4 linked regions of the Elephas maximus indicus genome follow. The protein of the gene in region 1 interacts with the protein of each later gene in a biochemical or structural test. Links are inferred from orthologs where the notes say so. Each region holds a gene or a part of one and is shown in the gene's direction. Other genes may lie near its edges.

What was found.
Region 2: the proteins of SIN3A (region 1) and TAL1 form a complex in vitro, tested with the Homo sapiens proteins (2 studies listed by BioGRID). The link is inferred for Elephas maximus indicus from reciprocal best matches to the Homo sapiens genes SIN3A and TAL1.
Region 3: the proteins of SIN3A (region 1) and SMARCA2 form a complex in vitro, tested with the Homo sapiens proteins (2 studies listed by BioGRID). The link is inferred for Elephas maximus indicus from reciprocal best matches to the Homo sapiens genes SIN3A and SMARCA2.
Region 4: the proteins of SIN3A (region 1) and KLF16 form a complex in vitro, tested with the Homo sapiens proteins (2 studies listed by BioGRID). The link is inferred for Elephas maximus indicus from reciprocal best matches to the Homo sapiens genes SIN3A and KLF16.

What each region holds. Positions count from the first base shown.
Region 1 is NC_064831.1:65,381,121-65,388,862, reverse strand, and holds the start of SIN3A (paired amphipathic helix protein Sin3a), read left to right. Parts: upstream 1-4,729; 5' UTR 4,730-4,767; intron 4,768-7,709; exon of another isoform or gene 7,710-7,742. UniProt on the Homo sapiens protein: Acts as a transcriptional repressor. Corepressor for REST. Interacts with MXI1 to repress MYC responsive genes and antagonize MYC oncogenic activities. Also interacts with MXD1-MAX heterodimers to repress transcription by tethering SIN3A to DNA.
Region 2 is NC_064821.1:89,888,879-89,896,796, reverse strand, and holds the start of TAL1 (T-cell acute lymphocytic leukemia protein 1), read left to right. Parts: upstream 1-4,911; 5' UTR 4,912-4,979; coding exon 4,980-4,981; intron 4,982-5,841; exon of another isoform or gene 5,842-7,858; intron 7,859-7,918. UniProt on the Homo sapiens protein: Implicated in the genesis of hemopoietic malignancies. It may play an important role in hemopoietic differentiation. Serves as a positive regulator of erythroid differentiation.
Region 3 is NC_064827.1:8,528,329-8,536,135, reverse strand, and holds the start of SMARCA2 (probable global transcription activator SNF2L2), read left to right. Parts: upstream 1-4,800; 5' UTR 4,801-5,012; coding exon 5,013-5,181; exon of another isoform or gene 5,182-5,199; intron 5,200-5,234; exon of another isoform or gene 5,235-5,520; intron 5,521-7,807. UniProt on the Homo sapiens protein: ATPase involved in transcriptional activation and repression of select genes by chromatin remodeling (alteration of DNA-nucleosome topology).
Region 4 is NC_064821.1:1,608,464-1,616,232, reverse strand, and holds the start of KLF16 (Krueppel-like factor 16), read left to right. Parts: upstream 1-4,762; 5' UTR 4,763-4,871; coding exon 4,872-5,310; intron 5,311-7,769. UniProt on the Homo sapiens protein: Transcription factor that binds GC and GT boxes and displaces Sp1 and Sp3 from these sequences. Modulates dopaminergic transmission in the brain.

The sequences.
Region 1 (7,742 bases):
TATTCTAAGATCCTAACTGGGAGTGTTGGACAGAGGCTGAGAATGTGGTTCCTTTTCAGGAATTTAGGGTAATATATTCATGATAGTTGTTAAGATGATAACTATGGCAGTAGGAAAGGAAGACTGAGATTTAAACAGTAGTATATATTTATATAAAAAAAAGAATAAAAAGGCACAGTGTCCCCTCCCCCATTCCAGGCTCACTCTCTTCTACTCCTCCCCCACCTTAGAACCTGTCTGCCTCTCTAAGCCACAATATAGTTTGAAAGCCTCAGGACTGCGCAGATGTGCAACGGAGCAGAGGTCAGCCCCTTCATCTTGTGGGGTCTCTGTTTTACCTCCTTGACCTTTAATGACTACCTGTGTCCAGGAGCCAGTTGAAGTCCGAGTCTAACGTTCAGGACAGATACTAGACAGGAAATACCAATTTGGGACTTTGTCTACATAGAAGCAATGAGCATTGGTAGTGGGTGGGATCAGCCAAGACTGAGGAGGGCAAGATGAGAGGAGAGACCTGTGGGGGCCACCGACATTTAGAAGATGGGTAGAGGAAGAAAAGCCCCTCAGTGATACTGAGCAATAGGCAGAGGTAACCTGAGGCTAAGCCAGGCTGGCTTGTCACAGGCTGTTGAGAGGTGGGGAATGGTTGGGATGAATGAACAAGATTTGGAAAAACGGGTTCGCTAGCTGTCTTCCTGGGGCAGGGGCTGTCAGAAGGAGGAGGCACAAGTGGAAGGCAAAGTAGAAACTAGAGTGCTCTGACTGCCACTTCAACCAAAGCAAGCCCCACTTTTTGTCTCTTACATATTAGCCCTCCCAAGATTTCATTTGAACAAGGGCATCTGCCACTTAAAGAAAATAATTACCAAACAACTGATATACGAAGGAAACACTTTTAAAGCATAAATCCAGGTAACCTGGGGAAACAGACAGTTATATTGATTTTCCAGATTTGGGCTGGAAGCAACCCAGAGGGGTAAACTCACACTGAGGGGAAGGTACTTGAAGACACAGAATGGCAGTCTAACACCTACTCAAAATTCCCAAGCCTCCAAGGCCACCCAGGAATCAGAATATGGAATATAAACAACTTACTACACCACCTGGTTGCTAGAGAAATGGAGTTTCTTCACATAGTAGAGTTGTTTGGTCCTTTAGGCCAGCTCCTGGACTCACTGCTAGGACTCCAACTTCAGGGACTTTGCATTTGAATGACCAGGAGAAGAGGGGGTGAGGATGGGATGACGAAAAAAGTTGGAGAAGTCTTAACGAAATGCTAGGCATACTTTAATGTTACAACAGCCCACCGAAGTAGATATTCTTAGTTTACAGATAAAGATAAAGCCATCCAGCTGGGAAGTGGCTGAACCAGAATCCTGACCAATAGCTTGAGCTTCTCCCCTTGAAGCTATAGGGTGCTTGGGGTGGGGGTAGGGACCTAGCCTCCGATTCCAAAGTAAAGCCTCAAATGCTCCTCACATGGATATTCCCCAGCAGGCTGTGGCTGCCTTCTACAGCTGCCAGAGGTTCTGGCAGCAGGGCACTGCAGTGCAGGCTCTAAATTTCTCTAATCACCATAAGCACCCTAAAGAACTGTGAATGAGTTCTTTTTGTGAATGAGGGTGTTTGTGTGTGTGAGTTTTCTGTGAAATTGTGGATGTCAGAAGGTGTGATAGTTTTGAGTATGTGTATTGTGAGTTGACATATGATGTGTGTGACTGCAAGACAAATCTTGCTTCTTTGAGGAGGATAATTTTTTTGAAAAAGCTAGAAATGAACTCTCTGGGGACAAACTGCTGTTACATTTATGGAGGTGAGAAGTGTGGAGCAAGAGGGGAGACTTTTCTGTAGGGGTCCCAACCTGGAGCTCATCTCAGGCACCAGTGTGTACGGAGACAGCATGTGGGGACACAGCTCAGGCTTTGGGCATGGATAGACTTGGCTACTCAGGCTATGAGCCCGGATAGACTTGGCCACCTGACACGGGAAAGTCACTCTACTGCTCTGAGCCTCAGAGTTTACTCATCTGGAAAATAAGGTTAAGAATCCCTAACTCAAAAAACTTGTGGGATGTTTCACACAAAAGAGGCCTCCTGGGAATCAGAACCTGGCATCCCAACATGACTTCTCCAAGAAGGGCTCTCACCCAGGTATATTCACTGTTCTGTCATCACTGGCATGGAGAGGGGGATGTGGATGCAACCCTCAGTGTAGCTGGAGGGCCAGTGTCACCAAATCAACTATTCTCACAGAGGCTGGGGTTGGCTGTGCAGGCATCAGTGTACTGAGTCAGAAACAATCACTGGAGCCCTTCCAAGGTAACTCCTGAGGTCAGTTTAGGGGTGTTGAGGGGGGAGTCCGCAACAAGGTGGTACACTTAAAGCTGGGAGTGTCAGGGAAACCTGGTTCTCTGGGGTGGGGGGCAGCTGTTCTAGTTGCAAATGCTCTGTAAGTAATTTCATCCACAGCACACTACTTGCTTCCCAGGCTCAATCAAATGCTTGGGTCCTTGGTCTCCACAGAAGCACAGAAACTCAGGTGTATTAAAGAGCATTTTATCATCATATTTTATCCCCATAACAAGCCTGAGAACAGCAAGGCAAGGATTATAATGTTATCCTCTTTTACAAGAGGGGAGGCTGATCCACAGATAATAAGGGACTGAGTGGGGACCAGGGGGCTCAACTTCCAAGCTAGCGTCCTTACTGCTCTAGCACTCTGCTTCATCCCACACTGACTCGGTTGGTATCTGCTATGCCTTCCGTGAGGGCAGAGCCCCTTGGTAATACAGCAGGAATCTGAGATGGGGGCTCCAGACATCAGGGGGTCTCTGGTCTGAGAGTGAAGCTTGACCTCCATGGCCTGCCATTAAACACACAGTCCTCATCTCCTGGCCTTTCCCCTCAATGATCTCATCAGCGGAGACTCCTGGGGTGACCCACTACATTTCCCAAATCACCTTCCTACCTGCCCTTTCTCTTAGTGGAAGGATCCCCCGGACCCCAACACACACGCACCTGGGGCAGGTACATGAACTCAGAGGGAAGGGTTTTTAGAGGATGTCTTTCTACTCCAATTTCCACCCCTATTTCACAGGGGGAAAATGGGTCCAGAGGGAGAAAGGGATTTGCCTAAGGATATGTCACCAGTCACTGGCTTAGAACCCAGATGACCCAACCACTAGCCACAAATTCTTCATACACCTCCTCACACAGCATGCTACTGGTTACTTCCTTCCCTCCACTACCTACACTGAACCAGTCACCCGCTCCCCTTGAGTCTTTCTCAAAACACATCTCTCTCCTATTCCTTCCCCACTCTCATTGCCCCAGTCAGGTCCTCATTACAGCTCACCTGAACTATTGAGGCAGCCTCCTAAACAGCAGCAAGCCCCCATTTTGCCCACAGGCCTCTAAGGCCCATCATACTCTGCACATCCCACCTCATCCACACCAGTTTCCTTTCCTCACTGCCCCAATGCGGGTAGGGCTGCCTCAATTAACAGGTCTTTCTTGCTCACACATTTTGGACCTCGAACACAGGCTCAGTTCTATTAAGCACAGGCCTGTGGGGTGCCTCCTACTCCCCCCCACCAGAAATCCTTTTGGTTGGGAGTTATGACAAATTCGGCAAATGATGCAGGGAAGAATCTGTAGCGCTTTGACTCGAGCGCTACAATGTGCCTCTTGTACTTTCCAACCAGTCATTGCAACAGCCTAGGCACTCCTCACTCAGCCCACCCTCAGAACCCATCCAGCCGCTGGGATGCTGAGCATCTTAGACCAGAATTCTGGGCCTTTTTGTGTGGCCCTGTGACCACCCTGTTCAAACACATTCAGCTGTGTAGGTCCAAGCATTTTAACCAAATATTATAAGCCTTCCTCTGGTCCCATCTTTCCAACCTTAATTTTCATTAACTATCCCAGCTGCACTTGAAGGGCCTTAACAATGTTTCACACCTACCCCTTTGTGCCCTTTGCTGAAAAATGACTTGCCCTTCCATTTCTGCCTGGTGAAATCTCCTTCGAGACCCAACTTGAATGCCTCTATGAAACCTTTCCTAATTTTCCTTCAGCTGGAAGGAATCTCCCTTCCCTGAGCTCCTAGAGATGTCTATTTATGTACACATTCCTGCCTTGAGTTAGCTTTTTCTGTATCATCTTTTCGGCTGGACCGGGAGTCCCTGGACGGTGTGGAGTGAGCCTCTCATCCGGCCTCTGTGAACGGACCCAGCAGCAGGCGCGGTATTAACGTGTCTGCCTCACCCGAAGGTGCTCAGACAAGTGCCTGTTGTCCTGGACGCAGGGATTCCCACTTGCATCACTCACTTTTAGGCGATAACAGAGGGCACCGGACACGGTTAGGTCACAGCCAGATATTCCAGCCAGGCGCTAGGGTGCCCTTTCCCGCCTCTCCGTCCAGCTCTGAAGGGTGTGTATGTGTGTGTGTGAAGGAAGTGGGGGCCGCGCAGCCCAGCTCCCTCTTCCTCCGGGTCCACCTGCGGATCCTCAAGTCCCAGAAGGCCTCCCTCCGGCTCGAGGGCCTCAAACTCCAAGACTGAGAAGACAGGGACCTCTGCCACAGTTGTGCCGCCCACTCGCGGAGAGTTTATTTATATTTTTTTTGGAGGGAGGGGGCGTGCAATGAAGGGGAAGAGGCGGGGCAAGGAGAGAAGGCGGGCCCAGGATGACTGACGTTAGAAGCGGGGAGCCAATGGCCCGTGGGGGGCGTTCCCCCCCATTCAGGACTCCTCGCCTGGCTCGGAAGGTATGTTAAACAGCTGCTTTTAATTTGGTCCCCCCAATCTCCGGCGTTTGGGGGGCTAGTCCATGGCCGCTCGCTTTGGCCAGCCCGCGGCGGTGCGGGCGCCACGGGCCCCGGGACGGAGCCAGGGGGAGGCTCGGAGTCCGGCCGCTGAGGGAGGCGAGGGGCAGGCCAGGAAGGAGAGCTCTTGGCGCCGCCCGCTTGCCAGTGTGTTTCCAAGCCGGGCGGGAGCTGTGGGGAGGGGGCCGGCCCGGCCTGGGGTCGCCAGGGCGCCAGCCGTGCTCCCTAGTTTATTTCACCGAGCAGTCGGTTTCGGTAGGTTTCGGCGGCGGAATGGGCAAGGGGTAGGCAGAAGGAGATTCCCCGCTCCTGGAATGTCCCTCCCTTTTGAAAAAATTTGTAAAGAAAAATGGGGGATTCCGTACACCGACTGGAACCAGGCCCGGGCTGCGGCGCGCGGGATCGGCAGGGGGCGGCGGCCCGAGCCGGGTTGGCCGGGCCCACTGAGCTCGCGGTGCCTGGAGTTGGTCGAGAGCTGGAGTTAGCAAGCGAGCCGAGGCCCGCGGCTTTCCCCGCTAACCACGCTGCACGAAGGCGGCAGCCACCCCAGGGGTTTTGTTTCTGCCCGCAAACTTGTCGGAGGGGCCGGTGGGCGCGCCCCCGGGAGGCGCGGGCGCCGAGGGCCAGCGGTTGTTAGGGACTCTGGGGGCGGGGGCAACGCCGGACTTGCGAGAGGGGCGGCCGGCGGCGGGAGAGGCCACCGGAAAGAGTCCCCGCGCTTCGGCAACAGCCCCATGCGCCGGCCGGAGCTCTCCGAACTCCCGGGCTGTGGCGGTGGAGTCGGCATTCGGCGCCGGAACCCGCCAGGCCGCGAACCGGCGCTGAGCTCGGCCCGGGGGTCTGGAAAACCTCCAGGAACTCGGCGGTTCCGACCCGCAGCCCCAGCTGATCCCCTTGCAAACATGGAGCTCCCTCCTTTCCCTCCCACCCCGCGGCGGCGGCGGCGGCGGCGGGGCTGCTCCCTCCCCCTCCCCCGGCCGTGCCGCTGCCGGGCTCCCCCTTCCCGCGAGGTGCCGCTGCGGGCCGCTCGGCCTCGAATCGGGCGCGGGCGTATTTGCGCGCGCCCCCGAGGGGGTGGCCTGAAAGGGGCAGTGAAGGTCGGAAACAGGGAAAACAGACTCCACGCTTGGAATCGGGAAAAGGAAATGCATCAGCGGGCGGGGAGGGGCGCAGGGAGCGCGCCTGTCAGTCGGGATGGCGGCCTCCGGCAGGCTGCAAGCGGGGAAGCAGGCGCCGGCGCGAACTGCGGGGGTCGGGCGGGGACGCCGGCTGAGGAGGCAGAGGGGACCGGACCCCTGGAGCACCGGGATTGCCCCTGCCTCCACTCATTGGCCCAGCCTGTTTACTATACTCCGGCGGAGCCTTGTGCAACCGGCCAGGAGGGTAGCTGAGGGCGGGGCCGTCTCTTCCACCCACCTCGGGCTCCTCCAGAGGCTCCGCCTCCTCTTGTTTTCTACTGGCTGGGCGAGACTCCCTTTTTCTCTTCTTGGTTACCAATTGGGTGACATTCTCCCGAGCTCCGCCTATCGGGAGGCCGGGCCGGAGTTTAAGTTGCTAGGATTTTTTTCCTAGAAGGGCGGAGGGAGGATTCCTGCGGCTTACGTGAGGCGCAAGGTCCCGCCCCTATTTCTAATTGGTGAAATGAATAGTTCCGCCTCCTCCGGCGGAGCGAGCTGGGAGGAGGAAAAAGCCAACCACTCGTCCCTGCCCCCTCCCTTCGCTCGTGTGCGCGCTTCGCACATGTATGGGGCCCGCCCCGCTCCTTCGAACTGCCCTCCCGCCCGGAAGTCCTGAGCTCGGCGCCCTTGGCGTGGGGGGCGGGGGCGAGAGGGGGCGGGGGGGCGCGAGCAGAGCAGGCACACAAAGATCCCTCCAAGGATCGAAGTCTGCTGGCCTTCGTGGTCCAACTAGGGGATGACCGTGTGGAGTGGATTTTGAGGGATTCTGCAGGAGCTGAGAGGGTGAAATCTGCCCTTCCCGGCTGGGGCTGCGTATTAAAGTTCTGACCGCTGCCTGGCTATTCTCGCACACCGGCGGCCCCTGACTTCCAGGGGATTGCCATTAGCTTAAGCTAGAGATCGCTGCGCACGCTGGCAGTGTTTTTTCTTCACAGGGCAAGGTGGCTGGCGTTGTTGGCTGTCTCGGGTTCGCCTGGGAGTCTTAGGCATGACCCAGGACAGCTCATCTCCCTGTAGGGCAGTCCACTTTTGGCTCGGGTTCGGAGTGGTTCTCCGTGTCTAGGTGGGAGCGACTTACGGCATCCAGTCCTGGGAAGAGGGGCCGGTCCAGGGTTAAAGGCACCTCTTGATATGTTCTGCCAAAATGCCTTTTCTTTGTAACCTCAGAGACGTTTGGCCCGGGGGTTGCTTTCGTAGACCTGACTTATTTTTAGAGCTCCGTCTGGGGGCAAGGCTTCACTCCTGGCGAGGCTGCTCCCACCTGTCGTGGAGTTCACAATTCGCCGCCGTGGCACCGCGGCTCAGAACCATCCTGGGAGTCAGGCCCACCTGTTGCCAGAGCTCGTTTCTGGCCGTCTCCGCTGGATTGCGGGGGACAGGGTAGGAGGATCTAGGAGCAGATTCCCTGCGGCCTGCCACTTCGGGACCCACCCGCCTCTCTGTGGGGAGTAGCCTTTTTGCTGGAGTGAGCGGGAAGGCTCTAGTTCCGCCCCCTTTCCTGGTGCTGCGAGAGCGCCCCCAAAACCATGGCCAGCGTCAGTTCTTAACTCTTTTGGTGAATGAATAAAAGCAAGGTAGCTATCGCAAGCACTTTGTCTCCCTGTGTGTTCGAGGCACTATTACCTACACCGAAAGGGTCAGAAGATTGCTATTAACACACTTTAGCCGAGGAAGAAAACAACAATTGTTATCTTTTGCCCCCAACTGATTTTTATCCTATCTCAAGTGTGGATATATCTT
Region 2 (7,918 bases), on another chromosome or scaffold:
TCTTCACAAGTTGCTCAACCTGTCTGTGCCTCAGTTGGGTACCTACAAAACGCAGATAATAATAGTCCCTGCCTTATTGGGCTGTTGTAAGGATTAACTGAATCTATATTTATAAAGTACTTAGGACAGTACCTGGCACATACCTGTTGCCATGGAGTCAATTCAGATTCATGCTAACACCATATGTTATAAGGTAGAACTACTCCACAGGGTTTTCTTAGCTGTAATCTCTGGAAGCATGGACCACGAGAGACTTCATCTCACATACTTTGGACATGTTATCAGGAGGGACCAGTCCCTGGAGAAGGACATCATGCTTAGTAGAGGGTCATTGGAAAAGAGGAAGACCCTCAATGAAATGGATTGATACAGTGGCTGCAACAATGGGGTCAAGCATAATAACGATTGTGAGGATGGCTGCAGGACCAGGCAGTGTTTCATTTTGTTGTACATACGGTCACAATGAGTCAGAACTGACTGGATGGCCCCTAACAACACCAACCAACTTTATGGAAGCCAATCACCAGGTCTGCAGATCTCCAGGTCTTTCATCCAAGGTGTTGCTGGGTGGGATCCACCCATCAACCTTCAGGTTATTAGTCCAGTGCAAACCGTTTGTGCCCTCCAGGGACCTAGTAACTGCCCTATACATTTATTGAGGATAAACCTTGCTGCCCATCAGAGTGAACACACATCACATCCCCCCAGAGGACAAGTTCAGGGCAAAAGATCAGAAAAAACCCAAAAACCCACTGCTGTCGAGTCGATTCCGACTCATAGTGACCCTATAGGAAGGACAGACTGGAACTGCCCCATAGAGTTTCCAAGGAGGGCCTGGCGGATTCGAACTGCCCATCTCTTGGTTAGCAGCTGTAGCACTTAACCACTATGCCACCAGCAGTCCTGAGATGGTCTAATACCTAGAGGCAGGGTAGGCAAAAATACTTGAAACATGTCAAAAGCCTTGGATTGGAAGTTTAGGAGAACCCAGTCTTGCTGGAGCAGGAGAGGGCGCTGGGCAGGCTGGAGAATGGCGACCACGGCCTCAGGCCCAAAGCCTAGCTGGGCTGTTCTCTTGGCCTTCCTGGTTCTGGCCGCTCCAGGACCAGACTCCAGACTTACCAGTCTGGGTCCCAGCCTCCCCTCCCCCCTTGCCACTCCCGCCCCAGGCGCTCCGGGTTTCCTGCCCGACTAAGGCCCAGTTGGGGGCGGGTGGAGGAGGGGTGGCATTTCCTGGCGGGGCCCCGGACCACGTCACTCGCTCAGGGATATTCGGACAACGCGCTGACCGACAGGCACCAGATGCTATTTCGGGCGGCGCCCCGCTTGGTGCGCAGTTTCCGTTTTTTCTGCCGACTGTCGGAAATGAGGGAGGGGGGAGAGTGTAGACGTCAGAGCCCCCCGCACCAGGGGAGGGTTTGGGGGACGAAGTCAGGGGCCGCTGCCAGGCGGTGTTAGGATCTGGAGCTTCACGGGTGCGTATGTGTTGGAGGTGGGGGTGGTGAAGGCCACTTTCTCCGCCTCCCGCAGACAGATGGTAGGGCTGACAAAGGCCTTTCCACCTGCCAACCTGCCAGGATTCCTTCACGGCAGCCCTCGGAAGCAGAGGCCTCACTAGGAGTGGGGGTGGGGGCAGATAGGGCGCCTTGCCCTGGGCGTCGCGTGCATGAACTGGGAGCTGCTTGAGGCAGGGTGCTAATTAGCAGTTTCTTTAGTCGCTATGAGTCTGAATCATCTGGAGGGCCAGGGTTTGGTTTTTTTATTGCCCATCACAGTTTCCATCGCCTGCTGTGAGAGATCACTCAGCAATTTAACACTAATTACCCTAGGCGATATTTTACTTGGTAGATCCCTGCTTGGAGGGGCCAGGCAGGTCATTTAATGCCTGGAAAAGTAATCCAAAGGTCTGTAGATGTCTCAAAGACATCTAAACTCAAGAAGTTCAAAACCAAATGGATAATCCCTTCCTATGCTATTGACCTGCAGACCCCCCATCTCCAGGGCTAACACCTACATCTAGCTGGAGACCCAGGGGTCTGCCCTCTCCCTCACCCCCAAACCAAATCCTTACAAACCCAGTGTTCATGCCAAACACCTGTCCTCTGCACCGTCTCTTCTGGCAGCACCCCAGTTCAAGCTCCAATACCCCTCCCCTGGACCACTACATTGACTTCCACACTGGCCTCCCTGCATCCTCCCCACCCACACACATCCCTTCTCCACACTGCGGCCAAAGAGCTCTTTGAAAATGCAAATCTGATTCTGTATAGGATGCTGCACCTTCAAACCAACCAAACGAAATGGTTCAAAAAACCCTTAAAATGGCTCCCAGGTTTCCTCCAGACATACCGGACTCCTTTGTTGCTCTCATGAACCTACAGCCCTTCTGCTTCAACCTGCGGGTCAGCTGGTCCCTTAGCCCACCTAGAAGGCTCTTTTTGCTTTATCTACACCCGCACCTCCCACCCCAAGTCCCACTCTTAGATCTCAGTCCAGACATCATGTTCTCAGGGAAGTATTCCCCAGTCAGGTTTTCTGATACGCGAACAGTTGATCCCATTTTACAGGGGCTCGGAGATGAGAAATGACTTGCTCAATGGTTCTACAGCCCAAGGGTGGCAGAGCCGGACTTCAAATGGAGAATTATGTGATTCCCACTCTTCCTACTGAGTGATGCAGCCAAGCAAAGGCAATGGGGACCACAGCAGTGAAACAACAAATCCAACTGGGGAGATGCAAGGTTTCAGTGAGAAAGTGGCAGAAAGGTTGGGTCTCGAAGGATGGATGGGCTTTGCATGTGAGAGGAGGAGGGAAGTAAGGTAGGAGGACCAGTAGAAGCTAAGACACAATGGAAGCAAAGTGCAATTTGACTTGGGAGTATTCAGGCAGCCAGGACTGGAGCCTTGGAGGAGAGAGTGGGAAATGGGGATGAATAGACCATAGAGGCCCCTCCTCTGTGTCCCTGCTGAGTAGCTGGTGTGATTGGGCCAGCTGAGGCCTCCTGGCAAGTCCAGGAATTAGACTGTTTTTCCTAGGACACAGGCTGCCCTTCTCCTGTGGAGTTCTGTGAAAGTTATACATACGGCATCCTGACTTCTGTCAGAGAGCATATGAGAATCAGAGGGGACAGATTGTAGACCCAACCATGCCTTCTCAGAGACTGATGACTAGAGGGGTGAGGGCTCAGGCTAGGGGCAGACTATGAGCTCAATCCTTGACTAGGACTCAGTCTGTACCCAGACTAGGGGCTTTCCCCGGTTCTCAGACTCCAAATAGGTTCAAAACTAGAGATGCTGGAAGGGTAAAGCAGCCTGGCATGGTGGGTAGAGTTTGGGGCTGGGAGTTGGACACCTGGGTTCAGTACCTGGCTTTTCCTCTGCATCACTGGAGGACTTTGGCCAAGCCACTTCTTTCTGTGCCTAACTTCCTTCTCAAAAATGATAACTGGAACTCCCGTACGAGTGCCTAGGATGTTGTCTCAGTCCTTGGGTGAAGTTCCATAGATTACCACCTCCCACCACCACATTTTAAGGGCCATTTTATTTAATCCTTACAACTCTGTGGAAGTAGGCATTATCTCCCCATTTTTCGAATGAGGAAATTGAGGTTCAGAGCTAAGTGACTTGTAAGGTTTGATTTTTGTGCTCTTTTCCATTCCACCATGAAAAAATGAATCCAGATACCCTCCATAGGCTGAGCCCCAGGCACCCACCCCTCACTGAACTCAGATTCCTAGCCCACAGTTCAGATCTTGGTTCCTTCAATGAGTTGAACCCAAGTCTAGGGTCTGGCTGCTGCTCCTCATCAGTGGCATTCCAGAAAGGACTCTGGTACCAGGCTTGCTTCTAAACAAGGCACCACCACTAACTAGCTATGAAACATTGAGAAAGTTACTTTTACTCTCTGTGCATCAGTTTTTTCATCTGTAAATTGAGGATAATAATAGCAACAACCTCATAGGACTGTTTATGAAACTTAGTTGAGTTAATGTTTGTAGGGTCCTTAGAACAGTGCTTCAGTAGCAATGTTTGTTACAAATATTATGGGGAGAGGTGTTCCCAGGCTTTAAACTTTCTGACCCCCTCCCCACCCTCCCAGAGAGCCCTTTAGGTTTGAGCTCAGTCCAGGATATTAGGGCCAAGCAGGCTCCATTTTAGACAAGAACAGGACCAAGGCTGAAGGGCAGTAGTCAGGGAGAAGCTGGGGAGCCTTCTAGGATAAGGGGAACTTTCCATTGAAATCCGGGTGTCTAGGACACTGGAGAAAGCCCAGTGGCGCAGTGGTTAAGAGTTCAGGCTGCTAACAAAAAGTTCGGCAGTTCAAATCCATCAGCCTCTCCTTGGAAATCCTATGGGGTAGTTTTACTCTGTCCTTTAGGGTCTCTATGAGTCAAATGGAAGCGACGGCAACGGGTGTTTTTATTTTTGGACCCTGGAGAAAGAATGAATGAATACTGGGGAGAGGTTTAGGAGGGGATGGTTCAGAGGCAGGGACAGAATGCTGGAGTGAAAGTCGCTGAGGAAAAGTGTCTGGAAGGCCAAGGGAATGAGATCGTGGGAAGCTAAAGCTCCCGAGAGGCCTCAGAATCACAAATAGGGGCTGGACCCGCCTGGTCCTAGACAGCGCGCCCCTCTCTCGGTAGCGGATTCCGGAGCCGGTTCCAGCGCCGCGCAACCCGTCCCTACTCCCTCCGGTGAAATTGCCAAATTAAAATGAATCATTTGGCCCATAATGGCCGAGGCGCTTATCGGGGGCGGGCGGACCCGCGGCAGTGCCTTATCTCTGCGGCGCACACGGCCCCGGCGCGCCTCGGCCCATGCTAACGAGGCCTCGAACGTGAGCGGGATTAGACCGTGTCGGTAGAGGAGCCCGGGTGTCGCGCAGCGCCGGGCGGGGAGGGGGCGGGCGAGGGGGCCGGGCCTCGGCTGCTAAGGACCAGGCCTCAAAATGGCCACACGCGTCCCCCCCGAACCGGCAAAATGTGAGCATTCTGGCCTTTTCTACGCAAAAGGCAACCTGCGGCCTCCCAGGAAATTCTGCCTCAGTTTCCTCCCTCCGTCCCCCTCGCCCCCCGCCCCTCGCCCGCAGAAGAGGTCTTCGCTCTTTTCCACTCGGTTTCTTTCGATGGGGCGCATTTTCCACGACGCCCCCGCCCTTGCCGCCGCCGCCCCTCCCGCCTCGAAGACTCTCTTCCTTCCTTCCCCTTTTTCCTTACGCAATATACAGAAATGCGCGAGACGGTGGTTGGTTTTCATTTCTTCTTCGTGGTTGTGTGCATGCGGTGGGATTGTGAGAATGCGTGGATGCGAGCTGTGGCAATGTTGACTGTTTTGGAGTGAGGTCTTCTTGGCAATAGGTTGTGTATCAGAGTGTGATGGTGTCTGCGCTGTTTGGGTGTGTAGACTGGGACCCTTCAATGAGTTCTTTGCGTTTTCTTCGTTGCATATGATTATTCTTATCAGCCTTTTCTACAGGCGTGGGGTTTTGCGTGTTCTGCTCTAAGTTGGGCTATGTAGCCTTTGCCATTGTATTTGGATGGTTTCGTTGCTGTGTCGGGCGTGTGTGGTTGGGTTGTGTGTCCATGAGCGATTGTTTGACCGATTTCGTTGTGTCGGGTTGGACGGTGTGTAGGCCTGACCATACCGGTTTGTGGATCAGTGCTGGGTTGTGCTTACTTTGTTTTCCTTCTATTGGGTTGAGTCGTGTGTGGTCCTGGCCACATTGGGTTGTGTGCCTGTGTCCTTTAGAGGTGCTTTTGCAATCGCTGGAGTGGGGGAGGGAAGCGAGGGCGAGGGGGAGATCCAGAAGCTGGTGGGACGGCGGCGTGGGGGCGGGGATCGGGATTTCACATTTTATTCCAAATTATGATGTACTCGGGAGCCAGTGGTGGCGTGGATGGGCGGACGGAGCCTGGTTGGCCGCTGTTCTGTCCAGAGGCCAGTTTGTACCTTGGTGTTTGGGGTCTCCTTGGAGAGCAGCAGGCTCTTCCAGGCTCGAAGCTGAGCTGCGCTAGCCGAGGCCGGCGCCTTCGAGCCGGTAGCCTTGGGTTTCTGCTCGTGTCGCACACCGGCTTCGCCCATTTCTGGTCAGTTTCGCGGGTGCGGCCGCCGGGGTCTGGGGAAGAGGCCCTAAAAGGACAATGGGCGCATCCTTCAGGGTTTGCGCCTCGGGTGGGGACCCTCAGAATGGTCGGGGGGGCATTTTTCGACCCCCTTCCCGGGTGAGCGCCCTTCGTGCGTGGGTACGGGTGCCCGTTGCGTCGTGACGCCTGCCAGGTCCGGGTCCGTGCTGCCAAAGCTTGGGAAGAAAGGATTTTGTTTTGCCAGTTGTTGTTGCTAATGCTGGGGTCGTCATTATCATCAGCATTATCATTAACACCCTATTTTAATTAAAATGATCATCCAGGAGCGAGGCGGCTTGTCCCTTTCCTTTTGGCTCCTTTGGAGGAAGAACAAAGCGGCGTCCTCCCTCCCCTCTGTTTTTTAAGTTGCTGGGTTTGGGGTGGAGAGAATATGGAGATAGGGACTGACACCGAGGCTCAGCCTTAAAGCGAAAATTAACCCTGAACTAACAAACAGGGAGTGAGAGGATCCGCCCTCCCCCACCCCAATTTGGATTAAAAGAGGAGAAAGACAATCTCCCGCATTGGATTGAAACCGCAAGAAAGAATTATTCCTATATTTCCACCAACCCGGGGCAAAAAGAAAGAGGCCTCCGCAAATAATCCAAGACTTCGATGTATAATCATAAACTGGACGATTCAGGCAAAACAAATTAAACAAAACCCTGGTGGGGAGGGCAAACTAAATCCCGTTACACCCTCGGAAGCAGTGTCAGGTTTGTTTTTACACTCCATTTTGCCTTATTTATTGCTGTAACTAATTATTAGAATTCTCCCCTACTATGCCCAAGCACCAAAGAATCGAAAATCATTGCGTAGGGACGACGGAGGACGGAGGAGAAGGTGGGAATTCCCCGCCATCCCTGTTTTTCTTTTTCTTGTTCTCCCTCCCTGCCGCACCCCTGGTTTTTTCTTAACATGTAGGAAGAAAGGAACGGACCTGAATGGACCAGGTACACTGCCTTCCCTCCCCCGCCCCTTCTGCTCACGCCGCTGCGACTCCATTCCTTCGGGAAAGGACTGCCCCTGGAGTTGGGTTCTGGTTTCGCTTTGGGCTGGAAATAAGAGGTGGGGGTCAAGGAGAGAATGGAGGCACTCTGAGGTTCTGCCCCGTGGATCAGGGTTTGAAGACTTGATTCTCGTTTTCTGATACACATCCCCCAACCCATCCGCGGGGTCCCGGATGACCTCCTCTCTGTGTGGCTGCAGCCGGGTTCCGGAGGCAACCGCGTAGACACGTCGCGCTTAGAAAGCATACTGCTTTTCTGAAAGGGACGGATTCCGGTTGGAGGGTCTGAAAATGTTCCAAGAAGCCTTCCGGGAGGGCTTGTTGTTCGTGGACTTAATAGTTATTCCTGATTGGTCAGGTGTAGGGTTCTTTTGGGGGGGGAGAAGATACCCCCATTGGCTCCAAACACCTGCAGGTTGGAGGCAGAAAGCTAGTGGCTGTTCCTTGGACTGGTGGGTAGGGGCATGAGGTAATTCCCAACCATTGACCCCCATTACTCTCTCTCCCTCCCTCTCACCCTCTCTCTCTCCACCCCCATCTTTCCTGGAAACTCGCTGTGGGCGAGGCAGACCACACTGGACCACACCACAGCCTAACTGCTGGCCTTTCAGTGGGAAAGGGGGAAAGTAAAGACCCAGGTCCACAACCTGGACTTGGGCTCCCGCCCCTCTCAGGGGGAGGAGCGGAGATCCTATTCAGAAGGGCCAGTCTTTCTGAATATGCCCCAGGTGAGTTTTGGTGGGAAGAATGTCGGTGGAAGCAGTGTCCAGGGAGGCCTTGGGTTCTGG
Region 3 (7,807 bases), on another chromosome or scaffold:
TTGTTTTTCACCAATGCCTTCAGTGCAGCTTGGACTTCTTCCTTCGATACCATCGGTTCTTGATCACATCCTACCTCCTGAAATGGCTAAACACTGACCAATTCTTTTTGGTACAATGACTGTATATTCCTTCCATCTTCTTTTGGTGCTTCCTGTGTCGTTTAATATTTTCCCTGTAGAATCCTTCAGTATTGCAATTTGAGGCTTGAATTTTTTCTTCAGTTCTTTCGGCTTGAGAAATACTGAATATGTTCTTCCCTTTTGGCTTTCCACCTCCAGGTCTCTGCACATTTCATTATAATACTTTGTCTTCTTGAGCAGCCCTTTGAAATCTGTTCAGCTCTTTTACTTCATCATTTCTTCCTTTCACTTTTGCTACTCTGTTCCAAAACAAGTTTCAGAGTCTCTTCAGATACCCATTTTGATCTCTTCTTTCTTGCCTGTCTTTTTAATGATCTTTTGCTTTCTTCATAGATGAAGTCCTTGATGTTATGCCACACCTCGTCAGGTCTTTGGTCATTAGTATTCAATGCATCAAATCTCTCCTTGAGATGGTCTCTAAATTCAGATGGGAAATACTCAAGGTCCTACTTTGGCTTTCATGGACTTGTTTTCATTTTCTTCCTCTTCAACTGGAACTTGCATATGAGCAATTGATGTTTTGTTCCATGATTGGCCCAGACCTTGTTCTGACTGATGATATTGAGCTTCTCCACCTTCTCTTCCCACCGATATAGTCGATTTGATTCCTGTGTATTCCATCGGGCAATGTTCATGTGTATAGACATCTTTTATGTTGTTGACAAAAGGTATTTCCAATGCGTAAGTCATTGGTCTTGCAAAATTCTGCTATGTGATCTCCCGCATGGTTACTATCATCAAAGCTATATTTCCCAACTACCGATCCTACTTCTTTGTTTCTACAGTTTACATTCCAATAATCAGTAATTACCAATGCATCTTGATTGCATGTTTGATCAATTTCAGACTACAGAGGTTGGTAAAAAAAACTTCAATTTCTTCATCTTCGGCATTAGTGGCTGGTGAGTACATTTGAACAATAGTCTTATCAACTGGTCTTCCTTGTGGGAGTAGGGATATTATCCTATCACTGACAGCACTGTATTTCAGGACAGATCTTGGTATGTTCTTTTTGACTCTGAAGGTGACAGCATTCTTCATCTCTATATTAGTTGTAATTTATTAGGCAGTCAGAAGTTGGTTAGTATTTTTACCACACTTTTACTACATTGCTAACTTTGCTTAAGATTTCTCATTGCATATTTCCCTGTTAATAGTTATACTGGATGTCCTCAGGCAGAAAAACCAGTTCTCACAGCATACCTTTCTCTTAGATGTGCTACCTTTTGTTGTCTTGAGGTTTGCTTTGGGAGAGAGAAAATTATGAACCTAAAGTTAAGAAGCACGTAACAAGGCCTAGGAAAACTCTAGAGTGGGTGACAGTTGACACTCCTCACCACCATAAAATGGTGCCCTTGCAGACTGGGCCTAAGCCAGTAGTGGCCCAGCTATGTAAACAATCCAGGCCACTTAATGACCACAGGGAGCATTTGGAGTTCTCACCATTGTCTCTTGTCTTTGACTTATCCAGTCCATAATTTTGAGCATCCTAGAACTGCATTTCAGTCCTGACTGCTCAAACACAGTCAATTTTGCAACAGTAAAATGGTTTTAAAATAGGGTTTTACTCCAGAGGGAAGAATCCTCACCCAAGAATCACAGTGCACTTTGTATGATGAATTTAAGCCATTATATTACAAAATAAGGGATAAATCATATTTTTCACAACACTACCACATAGGAACAGTTGTAATTTTGAGAGTCAAGCATCTACATTAACCAGAGTCTAAAATAATAGACCCTCGATTTAAAATGTCCTCACATTCTTTCACACTTCATAAAGCTAAAAGTGAAATGGTCTCAGCAAACATTGACTTGTTGGTCCCACCAAAGTCCTGCTTTTCAAGGCAAAATTGGAACAAGAGATCTCTAAATCGCAAAGGGCCAACAGCTTACTGTGTGTAGCTGTTATTAGTCTTAATCGTGAGGTGGGGAAGAAGACACAGCGGTTTGCAGAGAATAAGAGATTTATTTCCCTTCTTAAATCAAACGCAGGTTCCATTCTCCAACTGCTCCCTAGCCCACTCGGGGCAATCGGGGTTGTTTACCATATTTTCGTGTATATTTTAGGTGAAGATGACAGGCGAGGGAAGGTTAAAGGGCTGTGACGAGTCCGCGGAGTAAACAGAGGGGTTCCAAACCGAAACCAAACCCATTGCCATTGAATTGATTCTGACTCTTACGGGTTAAGGAGGGCTTATTTATTTATAAGGCGTTCAGCCTCTCAGCTGTTTCTCCCTCGCTGGCATTGGAAAGCTCGCAGTTCTTTGGAGAAGAGCAAATTTGGCAGGAATGTTCTTTGTGCCCGCCTCCCTGTTTACAGGGGGGAAAAAGGAGCTGATTTAAAATTACAGCGCGGGGGGGGGGGGGCGGTGGAGAGAAAAAGTTTCCCCCGGCACCACAATGCCCCTTTTCCCCCTTGGTCAACACTGGGCCACCAACAAGCTTTTGGTGCCACCCGGAGCCCTCCCCCTCGTCCCCTCCCTTTCTCTCTGCAGGCTGGCTCTGGCAGGCGGAGGCACAGTTAAATTCCAGCACCTTCTCCACATAGTCCAAACTACTACGCACTATTACTGAGCTGCCCTTCTTTTCGCGGCGCCTCCTTCTCTCCTCCAGCCTCCCCAGAGGAGCCCGCGGCGTCCCGGGGGGAAGCCCTCCGGGGAAAGGACCGCGGGAGCCCAACTCCAGCAGGCTGGGGGCCGAGTGCGTCCTGCGCAGTGGATGTGCCCCAGGCACACGCGCGGCACTGAGCCGGCGCCTTGCAGACACACACTGTTCCACGCATACGGCCGAGCTGTCTCGAGCCACATTCTTGCACACCGCCCCTCCTCCCCCCCCGCTCGCCCGGAGTCGCTGAGCTGCGCGAGTGACAGGCTCGCCCGGCCAACCCGCGCCCGGGCGCGCAGGGAGGAACGGCGCGCGGGGCCAACAGCGGCGCGTCTTCCGGCGCCCGCGGAGGCGGCGAGGGTGGGACGCGGGGCGGAGCTCGAGTTTAGGAAGAGGAGGGGACGGCTGTCATCAATGAAGTCATATTCATAATCGAGTCCTCGCTCGCTGTTTCTGTACTCTGGGTGACTCAGAGAGGGAAGGGATTCAGCCAGCACACTCCGCGCGAGCAAGGTAAATATAACTTACAACTCCTTTCTCCGCGGTCCCCTCCCTTCGGCCTCCCAGCTGCCGCAGCCGCCGCGGAAACCCGCGGCCGCCGCCTGCGCCGGGGATTATGCATTATGATCCTAATGATTATTTATTGTGCATGCACGGAGACCAAAACAAACAGGCGGGCCGAGCGCCACAACAACAACAAAAAAAGCCCGCCTCCTCCCCGCGGGCCTCAGGTGGAATGCGCTAACAACAGCTCCCAGCGGCCGTGGAAGAAACGGGAAAGTTTCCACCGAGCTTGGCCTTGCTAATAATAACAGGGATCGCTACGACTGAAAGGGGGCAAGGAGAGACAACAAGCACCAAACCACAGCCTTGACCCTCGGGAGGAGGTGGCGATGCGCTGCCAAGTCAAGGTTGCAACACACAGACGCACACACACACACACACACACTCGGCAAGGTTGCAATGCCCCCAACCCCTTAAAAACCTGGAGAGAAGGAGGGTGGCAGGAGGATACGGGAGGAGGATGCAAACGCGACCATCCATCCCGAGCAGTCCTCCCGGGAGGAGTTGGAAGGGGCGCTGGAGGGCGAGGAGCTCGCGGGCGGCGGGGCGCCAGCGATCGCGGCTGCCACCCGCTCCCGGGGACTTGTTTAAAGGGCTCGGGCTGCAGGGACGTGAGAGAGCGGATAGCGGCGGGAGAGCCGGAGCTGGCGCGCCTGGGAGGCGACAGGCACTGCCGCCGGGCCGGTGCGTGCCGGATCGGAAGTGTCACCTCCACTTTCCTAGTTCCCTCGGGCGGGGATGGGGGCGCTGACTGGCGGGCAGGCCTGTGGGCACGGGGGCTAGCGGGGAGCTGCCTCCCGGGCGCTGCGGCAGTCCCTGCGCCCGGTTCCTGGGGACGGCGCGGGCTTGGGTGTTGAAGTTCAAGGTGTCCGGCTCGGGCCGCAACCTGGGAGGGAGGGAGGGAGGGAGAAGCCGGGAGAGGGAGGTCGGAGGTGCTCTCCGGGCTTGGTTTCATTGCCCTCCCCCTCCCTGGGTCTGTTTTCTTGTGCTTCAAGTCAGCCCCTTGCCAGCGCCGCGGGGAGCGCGGGCGTGGGGCGCCCGCGATCGTCCAGGTGCTGGGGGCACGCGGGGCCCGGGAGAGCCACAGCGGCTGCTGGCCGAGAGGCCATGATCCGGATAATCCTCTCTGCCTGACTGTCACAAACAGGACCCGCGCGCACCCGGGCAGCGGCGGTGGCGTTCGCCGGGTAAGGGGAAGGGCTGCGAGGGGAAGGATGGGGGGGTTGGCGAGGGCGGGAGGCGGGGAGACCGGGTGGGTGCCTCCTCCCAACGATGACACGCACCCCTTCCTCCTCGCTCCCTGCTTTCGAGTTTGCTTTATTCTCATCCCAACCGAGTATGCCCCTTCATCGGCTCTCCCTCGCCACCTGGCTGCCTGCCCTCCTCTCGTTGGCCTTGCAAAACACGGCCATGCCATCTGCAAAGGTGTCGCGATGCACTTCCCCAAAAAACCTGGCAGGCACGCCCGCCCCTTGGGGACCTCCGGCCGCAGGGCTCCCGCCAAGCCGGGTGCCCGGGGTGGACTGCACCGGGCCACGCAGCCCGGACGCGGTTGCCTGCGCGGGGCGGGCGCAGCAGTGCGGGCTCCGAGGACCCCTGAGCCCTGGCCCGGGCACTCGGGGCCGGTTTCCGGTGCGCGCGGGGAAATCGCCTACTGCCAGTGTCTGCGCGCTCGCCCCCGCCGCCTGGCTCGCCTTCTGATGGTGATCCGGTGGCCTTGCGCGGCGGCTGGTGGTGAGCACCCGGCTAGCCGGGCTGCCGGGGTGGGGCGGGGCGCCGGGAACTTGGCGGTGGATCAGGCTGGAAAAAAAAGTTTGGCAGGGCGGCCAAGTGCGGCGCAGGGCGGAGGGGCCGCGAGCCCCGCGGCCGGTGGGTACGCGCGAGAGTGTAAGTGTGTGCAGGGCTCGGGGAGCCGGCGCGGGCGGCAGCTCCGAGCCGGGGAGGCCCGAGAGGCGGGCGGGGGCCGGCGTGTGCGCGTGGCTGCGAGTGTGAGTGTGTGCGCGCGCGGGCGGCGAGAATCAGGAAGTCACCGCGGCGAAGCGCACAGACATGTTTGATCGCGGTGACATGACGCGCGCCCGGGAGGAAGCGGCGGGGGCCGGGCCCCGGGCGCGGGCCTAGCGCTCGCCACCGACCCCCGCGCCGGCCACCTAGGCGTCGCCCCCGCCGGCCCAGAGCCCCGCGCCGCTTTTTGTTCCGTGCCGCTAGGTAAGGAGCTTGAGCCGCCGCCGCCCGCTACGCGCGGAGCTCTCCGTCGCTTTCACTGCCGGCCCCCTCAGCTCTCCGGGCTGGCTCGCCTTTCCTGCAGAGTCAGGCCGGCGGGGTACACGGGCTGTCGGGGCTGCGATCGATGGCGTGGAAAACTTTCCAGCGGGAGGCTCCGGGGAGGGAGAAGCAGGCCTCGCCGACCACTGTCAGTCCCTCTTCCTTCAGTCTGGGGAGGAGTTCGAGTCGCTGCTCCCTGGGGCTGTTGCATGTTAAAACTTCGGGCCTAAATGCGCCTCAAACTCTCGCAGGATTTACTCCAGCCTTCAAATCAATGCTCAGAGCCGTCAAGTTGGCCTTGCCAGGCGTTTGGGGATTTTTTTTTTTTTTTTCCGGGAAGGAGGGAGGCGAGGGAGTGGGGGTGTTGTGCAGAATCCATTCCATCGTTAATGTCTGCACCGTGTGTTATGTAATTTTAGTAGCACATGGGTGCGGAGCCCACGCTGGGCTGCTCTTCTCCTTTGTTTATATAACTTTTGGGAGAGTTTTGCCAGGTTGTCGCCTTTTTCCCCCCTTCCCTAGCCTGGTGGAGGTTGGGGTTTTTGCAATAGCAAGCAGCCCGGGTTAGTGCTTCATGGAACGATGTCATTGCCCTCTGGTCATTATGGAGACACGTATTTCTGACTACTTACTGGAGGTGTAACGTCAGATCCAACGTGAAGAAATGAAAGATACACGTTTGCTGGTTTATTGCAGTGACTGGTTATTTTTAACATCTGTGTGCTACCAATTGCTGGGCTAAATTTTCAACTTCCATTTCAAAGCAGTTTTTTCTTACACCTGATTGTGTGCCTTGCTTGTATAAACAAAACGGATGTTGCTCGCCGGTTGAGTAGAAGAAAATTCTTGGCCAACTACCTAAGACTCAGAAAGGACTACCAAAATAGAGGCCATCTCCAATGTTATGTGTGCAAACATATTTATATACATATTCACATGTTTGCAGAAATATTTTCCATCAGTTGTTTTGCGGGGAGGGTATTGTAGGCTTGTTGGCCAACACTGGACTCCTAAGGCTTCCAGGCTAGGTCTTGCACTCTAGTGAAATGTTCAGAGGTGTGGCTGGTTGGAATCCCAGTTGGTGCACTGTTATGCAAATTGACACACACATTTTTTAGGAATCTAATTGCCTTTTTTGGAAACCCTGGTGGCATAATGGTTAAGTGCTATGGCTGCTAACCAAAGGGTCAGCAGTTCAAGTCTGCCAGGCACTCCTTGGAAATTCTATGGGGCAGTTCTAGTCTGTCCTATAGGGTCGCTATGAGTTGGAATTGACTCGATGGCACTGGGTTTGGTTTGGTTTTGGTTTAATTGCCTTTTTATTCTCCTGGACTTTTTTTTTTAGCTCCCCTATAATCTCTTAGATTCAAAAGATATTTATTGAAGTAGACTGAGAAATGCCCTGTGCATTAGAGATCTGTCTGCTTTGTTGGAGGCATGAAGGAGAGATGCCATATTACTAAAGACCATTTTAAAATGAACCAGGAGTTTGGGGTATGAGAACCCTGGAAGAACTGGCCCAGGAGAGGGAGAGCTTTCCTCCATGTGGCTGCCCCTCTCAGCAGCTGCGTCCAGCATCCGGACTGGCTGCACTGTGGTGTCTCAGAAAATATTCACCGCAACACTACGTTCAAAGCAGCCTTAGATCTTTTCTTTTGTTCATTTTTAAAGTGGTTTTTGAGCATTTCTTGTCAAGTTTCTTGAAAAGTGCTTTGACCAACACCCGAGGCCTGGCATTGCCAAAAAAATAAAAAATAAAAAGTGCCTCAGCTGGCATTATATTGTGAATGCTTGAATTCTGCTTAAAATATTATAACTAGAAAGTACTGCTGTGGCAGATAATGATTGTAGATGTTTTTTCTTTGATTAAGATAAGTCATTCTGCCGGTCAATATAAAAAAGGATGTCTCGTTTTTTTCCCCAGGAGAGTATCGTGATACCCCTCAGATTACTGGGATGTTTGGGCATTTCATTTTAAAGGCTTGTTATGGTGTTGTAACAAAACCATAAAAGAGAAGCGTTTCATAAATTATAAAAGTGGCGCTGTCCTCTGGTGTTTGCTGGTTTCTTTCTTTTTTTTCCTTTACAAGTCTTCCTTTGTAAACAAGGCCTTTGTTTGTCAAACTCTCCTAGGTCAGCAGCTTTTGGATACTCCAGAGAAATTTAAATCACTATTTATGACATCTTGACACATTGCCACGAGAAGGACTAAATTCTCACCAATATAACG
Region 4 (7,769 bases), on another chromosome or scaffold:
GGATCAAATTGACAGCAGCAACTCGAAAGGTTAGATGAGAAGCTTAGGTGGCAGTGAGTTTATGTTAATGGGGGAGGAACACCTCAGAAAAGGAGGTTGACCATGGCTGCACACCTCGAAGGATGTAATCCACGTCACTGAATTTATACATGTAGAAATTGTTGAATTGGTGTTATGTTCCGCTGTGTATATTCTCAGCAACAAAAAAAACAAAATAGATTATTATTTTTTAAGGGGTTTAGGAAGGAATCAGGAAGTGAAAGGAAGCGTGAGACTCCCATAGGTCCGGCCCCCTGCTGCCTCCACCCGAGAAAGGACCAGACCCTGTCCCCTGGCCACACAGGGGGCTGCGAACCCCCAAAGGTGTTTCCCCTCAGTGCTGGCAGCTTTCCACATGTGCTTGGAAGCAGAGGACAGGGACAGCCAGGTGCCCATCTCCCACGGCCCGGCCTGCATCCTTGGTCCTACACTGAGCCTTCTGTCCCCCTAAGCATCATGGTACGAACACATCAGACTGAGAATAAAGGCAGACACGTTGTGGAGGAGAATGTAGAACAGACAATCTTTAAAAAGGCTCTACACCAAAGTCTAACATTCTCCCAGAGCACCTGCTCCTGGATGGACGAGGCTCCTGTATCTTGTCCGCAAGTAGGACCAACACAGAGGTTGGGGGGTGCACCCTCAAATGCCTCCGATGGCAGGCAGGTGGCAAATCAGTGGGTCCTGGTCAGTGTCCGCATTGTGTGGGGCTGCCTCCAAGCCCCCAAACGTCCTCAGAAGTGATGATACACACACACACAGAAGTGAAGTACCCCAGTCACATCCTGTTGGGGCTCCCTGCCAGCACGTGACCACCAGGGATGTTAACCTGGGTTAACCTGGTGATGGTAGGGCCGCCAGGTTTCCCTGAGGTAAAGTTACTATCTTCCCCTCTCTGCTCCATTCTTTCAAAGCCAGGCACTACTAGGCCCAGCCCACACTCATGGGGAGATGGTCACTTAAAAATTAATTCAGAAAATAACTCTACAATTAAGCATAAAAAAAAGAAAAGTGGCCCATGATCTCACCGCCTGGGTACCTGCTGAGAAGCCCTGGTGGCGCAGTGGGTAGGCACTCAGCTGCTAACCAAAAGGTCGGCAGTTCGAACCCACCCAGCAGCTAAAAAAAAGTTGAGTAGTACAGAAAGCTATAAAACAAAAAGCAAAGATCTCACCATCTTTTAAAAAAAAGGATCATTAACAGCTATTCTAGCTTGTATATATATTCTCCTCTACGGTTTCCTTGGTGGCGCAGTGGCTAAGAGCTCAGGCTACTAACCAAAAGGTTGGCAGTTTGAATCTACCAGCCACTCCTTGGAAACCCTATGGGGCAGGTCTACTCTGTCATATAGAGCTGCTAGGAGTTGGAATAGACTCAACGGCAATGGGTTTGGTTTTTTGGTTTATGGTACCCTTAGGATCCCTGATGGTGCAATGGTTAAGCGCTTGGCTGCTAACCAAAAGGTTGGAGGTTCTAACCCACCAGCTGTTTCGTGGGAGAAAGGCCCGGTGATGTGCTTCCATAAAGATCACAACCTAGGAAACCCTACAGGCAGTTCTACTCTCACATGAGGTCGCTAACAACAACATGGTATCCTTGTCTTTGACCCTAACCTACCTTGACCATCTTCTTTATGGATGCACTCATTTCGGGGTGTCCTTGTGCCCCGATTTATGTAACATTTTCCTCACCTGTACCACAGGAGGCTCTGTGCTCTCCTGCCCACCTTCAGGTAAGGGTGCAGGGTCTGGACTACTGGTATTCCTAACAGAGATCTCTCCCCCATGTTCTTCCTGCCCCGTCCCCCTCCAGTGACACCAGGCTGCTCTTTCCCTGAACCCCTAGGATGGTGTCAGGGATGGGTTTACAGATGACGGACTTACAGGGACCTATTTAAAGATACCCGATACAGTCGGAGTCCACTCCGACTCATAGCCACATTGTAAGAGAGGGTGAACCTGCCTCATAGGGTTTCCAAGGAGCAGCTGGTAGATTTGAACTGCTGACCTTTTTGGTTAGCGGCTGAGCTCTTAACCACTGCGCCCTGGTGGTGTAGTGGTTAAATGCTATGCCTGCTAACCAAAGGGTTTGCAGTTGGAATCCACCAGGCATTCCTTGGAAACTCTATGGGGCAGTTCTGCTCTGCCCTGTAGGATCACTATGAGTCGGAATCAACTCGATGGCACTGGGTTTGGCTTTTTTTTGGTTATTTAAAGATAAGGAAACTGAGGCTTAAAGATCTGCCAGACAGGGATTTATGCTCAGCCAGCTTCCATTTGTATTTCTCCAGAGCTCAGCCGCTGCCTGGTAGCTGTGAGCACAAGTAAACCCTTCCCTGGACCTCTGCCCGCCTTGATTTCTCCATCTGTGGAATGGGGATAAAGACCATGGTGCAGACAGGACAAAACACACCGCAGAGCTGAGCACCGATAGGGGAGGCACCTGGGCGGCGCCACGTTGGGGTGGGGTGGCTCCACCTGGTTATAAAACCCTCCTCGGCCCTGGGGGCCAGGAGCCAAGCAGGCGGCCAGGAGTCCCCAGGCCCCCCTCCCTGGGTGGGTTGAGGTTTTGTGCGTCCTCCCTATGGAGGCGCCTGCCTGCAAAGCAGTTGGCGTGCCCACAGGTAGAGGCTACAGGTTCAAGGCCCTAATTATCCCCAGGAAGGAGGTGGACACAGAAGGCTGACCCTGATCTCTCGGCAGCCCCATTCTCTGGCGTGCCCCTAACCTTGCCCCCCGTTCCCCAAGGGCCTTGGGTGTTCTCGTACATCAGCCGCGCGCATAAGCCCGCCAGCGCGCCCCCTGCGCATCCCTGAGGCCTTGCCTGGGCTGAGGGAGTGTCTCCGCAGCCCGTTCCCCCCAGCTCACCTGGGCTGGCGTGTACACGCTCACCTGTGCGGTGGACTGACCAGTCTGCCTCCTACCCTCCCCTCCCCGCAGCGTGAGCCTCACCAGGGCAGAGCCGGACCGGGAGGTTTCTCTGTCTCAGGCACAATAAACCTCGGGGGAACCGGAAGGAACGAGCCGCATTGTGGCCGTGCCCCGTCCCATTTCTCGCTTTGTTCGGGGTCTGGGTAGCCGCACGAGCACCGACGTGGCTCTGTGTGCTGGGTGCCACGATGCACCTCCTTGGGCTGGGTGGTGGGGCAAGGGAGCATTGACCACGGACTTTCTGCGGGGGGCGGGGGGGGTGTCAGTGGCCTCCGAGGGCTGCTGAGACGGAGGGGGCTCGGTGACCTTCCCAGAGGGCCCACCCTCCTAAACCCGAAGGCACAGGGACCCGGCCGGCAGGAACGCCGACCGCGTGGTCCACGGTGGGCTTCTTTCCTTCGCGAAGCAGCCTGCACCTGGCTTCACCTGTCTCTGCACAGGTTGCCCCTCGCGGCGCCCCGCCTCTTCCCCTCCCCCCTCAGTGCAGCCACGTGTGCTGGGCACACGGGGGGTACGGCCCGGCGAGGGGAAGGCTGTGCTGGGGTTGCCTGTGGGGAGAATAAGGCCGGGGCCAAGGTCACGGCGGCTGCCCACACCCAGGCTAGGGCGGGTCCCGGAGCTGGCAGAGGTGACCAGCAGGGAGGCCCGAGAGGCCGAAGCGGCTCTCCCCTTGGAGGCCACTCCAGGCCCTGCAGGGCTGGGTCGGGGAAGGGCGGGGACGTGGTCGCGGCAGAAGGGCCGCTCCATCGGGGTCTGCGGGGTTTTGGGGCGGAGGCAGTCATCTGCGCCCTCGGTGTCCTCGCCGCTATAAAACAACTTGGCCTGGACGCCCTCGGCGGCTTCGGGGCCTCAGTTTCCCCGTCCAAGCCCCGCAAAATCCATGCCCTGGCAGGGAGGAGATGGCCCCGACCCTGGTGGCCGGGATCCACTGTCCCGGACAGGCTGCCCTACCCCGCCCCTTCCTTTGCGGCCTCGCCCGGCTCCCCTCTCTGACCCCCGGCCCTCTAGGGGGGCCCTGGTCCTCCCCGCCCCCTGTGGGACACGCACGAGTAACCCCGGAACGGGGTGCAAAAAAGAGGAAGGCAGGCTCCAGTCACCCGAGGGGAGCGAAAGGCCCCACCTCTCCCGGACTCAGACGCGGGGCGCTCCGCTGCCCAGATCGGGGAGGCCCCCGGGGCTCCAGGGTGGGCGAGGGGCACCCGCAGAGAAAGGAGCGCGGGGCTGGGGGCGCGGTCAGGGCAGGTCCCGAGGCCGGCCTAGCGGAGAGGGGGAAGGGTCGCGCACGTGGCCGGGGGGCGGGGCCGGCTGCTCCCGCACCCCCACCTCGACCACGTGGGGAGCGCAGCCCTCCCTCCTCCACCGGGGCGGGGGCGCGCCCGGAGCGCGTTCTGGGGCCGGGGGCGCGTCCGGGGAGGAGGCGGGCTCCTGCCGGCCGCGCGCGCGGCGTGGGGAGGGCGCTTCCGCGAGGAGGCGGGGCGCGCCGCAAAGGGGGCGGGGCGCGCTCGTGCTGGAGGGGCGCGCCCCGGGGGAGGGGCGTGCCGGGGGCGGGGCGCGCCGGGAAGGGGCGGGCTCCGGGCGGCCGCCGCCGGCGTGGGGAGGGCGCGCTCAGGGGCGGGGCGGGGCGCGCCGGGGGGCGGGGCGCGCCGGGGGCGGGGCGCCGGGCCGGCTCGGGGGCGGGGCCTCGCGCCCCGAGGGGGCGTCCTCCGGGCGGGGCGGGCCACCGCCCCCGCGGGCTCCGGTGCGTCAGGGCGCGTCAGGCGGGGCGGGGCGGCGAGCGCGGGCGGCGGCGGCGGCGGCGCGCGCCGGGCCTCCTCCTCCGCCTCCCGCACTCGCAGCAGCAGCCGCCGCCGCCGGCCGGGCCGCTCCGCCTCCTGCTGCCTTCCGCGCGGCGCGCCCTCCGGCATGTCGGCGGCCGTGGCGTGCGTGGACTACTTCGCCGCTGACGTGCTCATGGCCATCTCCTCGGGCGCCGTGGTGCACCGTGGGCGACCGGGCCCCGAGGGCGCCGGCCCCACCGCCGGCCTGGAGGTGCGCGCGGCGCGGCGCGAGCCCGGCCCGCCTGGGCCCCCGGCGCCGCCGCCGCCCGCCGCCCCCGGCCCCGCGCCCGCCACGCCCCACCTGCTGGCCGCCAGCATCCTGGCCGACCTGCGCGGCGGGTCCGGCGCCGCCTCGGGGGCTGCCTCGCCTGCCTCCTCGTCCTCCGCCGCCTCGTCCCCGTCCTCGGTTCGCGCCCCCGGCGCCGCGCCCGCCGCCGCCAAGAGCCACCGCTGCCCGTTCCCGGGCTGCGCCAAAGCCTACTACAAGTCGTCGCACCTTAAGTCGCACCTGCGGACGCACACAGGTGAGCCGGGCTCGGGGCGCCCCCTCCCCCCGCCGGGACCCCGAAACTGCGTGGCGCGCGGGGGGCGGGGAGGGGGGCGCGCCCGAGCCGCCGCTGCCGCCGCCGCGCCGGGCGGGAGGAGGGAAGGCGGAGGGCGGTGCCTCGGTGGGTGGGGCGCGCGCGGGGGGCGTGGTGGCCACGCGGTTCGGGCGCGCGGATGGCGGCCGCCGCGGGTCGGCGCTCACCGGGCCCGAGGGCCTGGGGGCTGCGGCGGGACGTGCCCCGGTTGGCCCCCCAGCCGTCCAGCCTTGGGGGTGGGCGCGGTGGATGGAGCCCACCGAGGCCGAGCAAGGCCCTGCCTTTCCCCAGCCTCAGTCTTCTTATCTGTAAAGAGGGCGGAGTCGCGTCGCCGCTTCGGGTGGCCGCGCGCACTCGGCCCGGAGGGCGGTGAGGCGTCTGGCGTGGGGCCAGGGGGGACGCGGCACGTTTTCTCTATGGCTCTGAGGTTCAGCGAGGCGGAGGGCGGAGTTGGGTGCACGGGTGGGGGGGTTTAGTCAGGGGAAGATGAGGACTTGAGAGGGGAACCCTAGAGGGCTCTAGTCCTCACCAAGTAACCTTAGCGCACTTTCCCACCACCTGGGGAGGAGAATCATCTGGGGAGGGAACTGGGAAGGTGCGCGCGGCTGCGGGGAGGTGCCCAAGCCACCCTAGAGCGTATCACAGCATAGCCCCGCCTGGGGTGCAGCGAGTGCTTGGAGCCTGGCGAGTCCTGGTCACCCCACCAGTTTCCCTGTGGACTACCCCTTTTCCTGCTGAATGTGCGGGTCCTTTCCTACCGTCTTGGGTGGTCATTCTCTCCGGCTGTGGCTCACTCCCTCGCTCTGCCCCCTCCGTGGGTCCCACCCTCACTACCCTGAGGGCTTCTTCCACACTCGGAGCTTGGCCTGGGGACGGGGAATGTGCTCTCCGGTGGCCAGTCTGGGCTTGGTATTGGAGGCGCAGGAGAGGAAAGAAAGCAGGGCTGGGGACCCGGGGCAAGCTCTGATCTTGTGTGGGATGACCCCAGGCCTCAGTTTTGTCGTTTGTAAAAAGGGCTCGAGGTTGTCTTTCTACTGCATTTCAGGGTAGATGTGGAGGTTACTTGGCTCAGTCCACGGCCCGCTTATGGCTGGAGACTTGCCGCCTAAAGACGAAGTGAGGATCTGGACTGATGTGCACAGGAACTGAGTCTGTCTTTGGACGTGGGGAGCTACACTGAGGGGCTAGACGGTGGGGGCTGGAGAGCCAGGAGGGAGGAGAGGAGAAGCTGGTCACAGAGTAGGGCATGGTTCCCACCTTTCCCTGAGGTCTCACCCAACTGCTTGGAGCCATAGACTGGGACCCAGGGTGCCAGAACAGGATTTTGTATGGATTCCTGGTTTCTTCCAGGCCCCTCCACCTCCCAGCTGAGTGGCCCCTGGGTGGTACTCCTCTTCAAGGCAGTGGAGTCCCAGTATCTCTGCTAGAGGAGCATTTGGGGGTCTTCGAAGGTGGAAAGGCTTCTGTGGGTGGAGGAAGATAAAGAGAGGGGCAGAAAAAAAGATCACATTGGGTGGCCAGGCCACCTCCCACCCAGGCACCCAAGGGGTGTGGCTAAGGCTTCTCGGGACCCTTCAGTGTTTGTGGGCTCCACATGATGGTGGCGGTGGCCTCTAAGCTAGTGAAGAAAAAGGATTCCATGGCACAACTGGAGAGGGCAAGACTGCAGCCTGCAGAGCAGAGTTCAGGGTACCCCAGAGGAGGTGTGGATGTTTGGGGTCAAGCCACGTGCTGCCTCCACAGAGTAGGGGAGGTCAGGGTGCACCCCCTTGCAGATCCTTGGGGGCCTTGATTGTCTTGTTCTCTCGTTGCTTCCCGAGCCCATTTATAGTAGTGATGCTGGGTCAGGATGGCACAGCTCCTGAAGAACGGCCTCTTTGTGAAGGCCCTGTGACTCAGTCTCCAGAGGGCTTTGGACATTATGGAGCCTTGGTGGTGCATAGGTTAAGAGCTCAGCTGCTAACCAAAAGGTTGGGAGTTCGAATCCACCAGTGGCTCCTTGGAAACTCTACGTGGCAATTCTGGTCTGTCATATAGGGTCGCTAAGTTGGAATCGACTCCATGGCGACGGGTTTCGATGTTACGTGCTTAAAAAAATAAATCTCCATTTATTTAGCATCTTTCCCCCAGCTGCGGTACCACCACGGCTTCTTTTAAATGTAGGTGTGTTGGTTTGTCCAGCCCCCTGGGAGAGGAAGGCCAGGCCTGGTGGTGTCCACTGCCGTGGGTGGCCCTGGGGAATAGGGGCCTGGGACATGACAGAGTTGGCCCGGGATGCATTACCGATGCTGCAACTTGGGGCTGGGCAGGCCTGGGGAAAGACAGAATGAGGGGTCATAATTAGGCACCTGCTGTCTGCAGAATCCTAGCCCTAGGGCCCTTGGGAGGGACAGTCCTGCCCT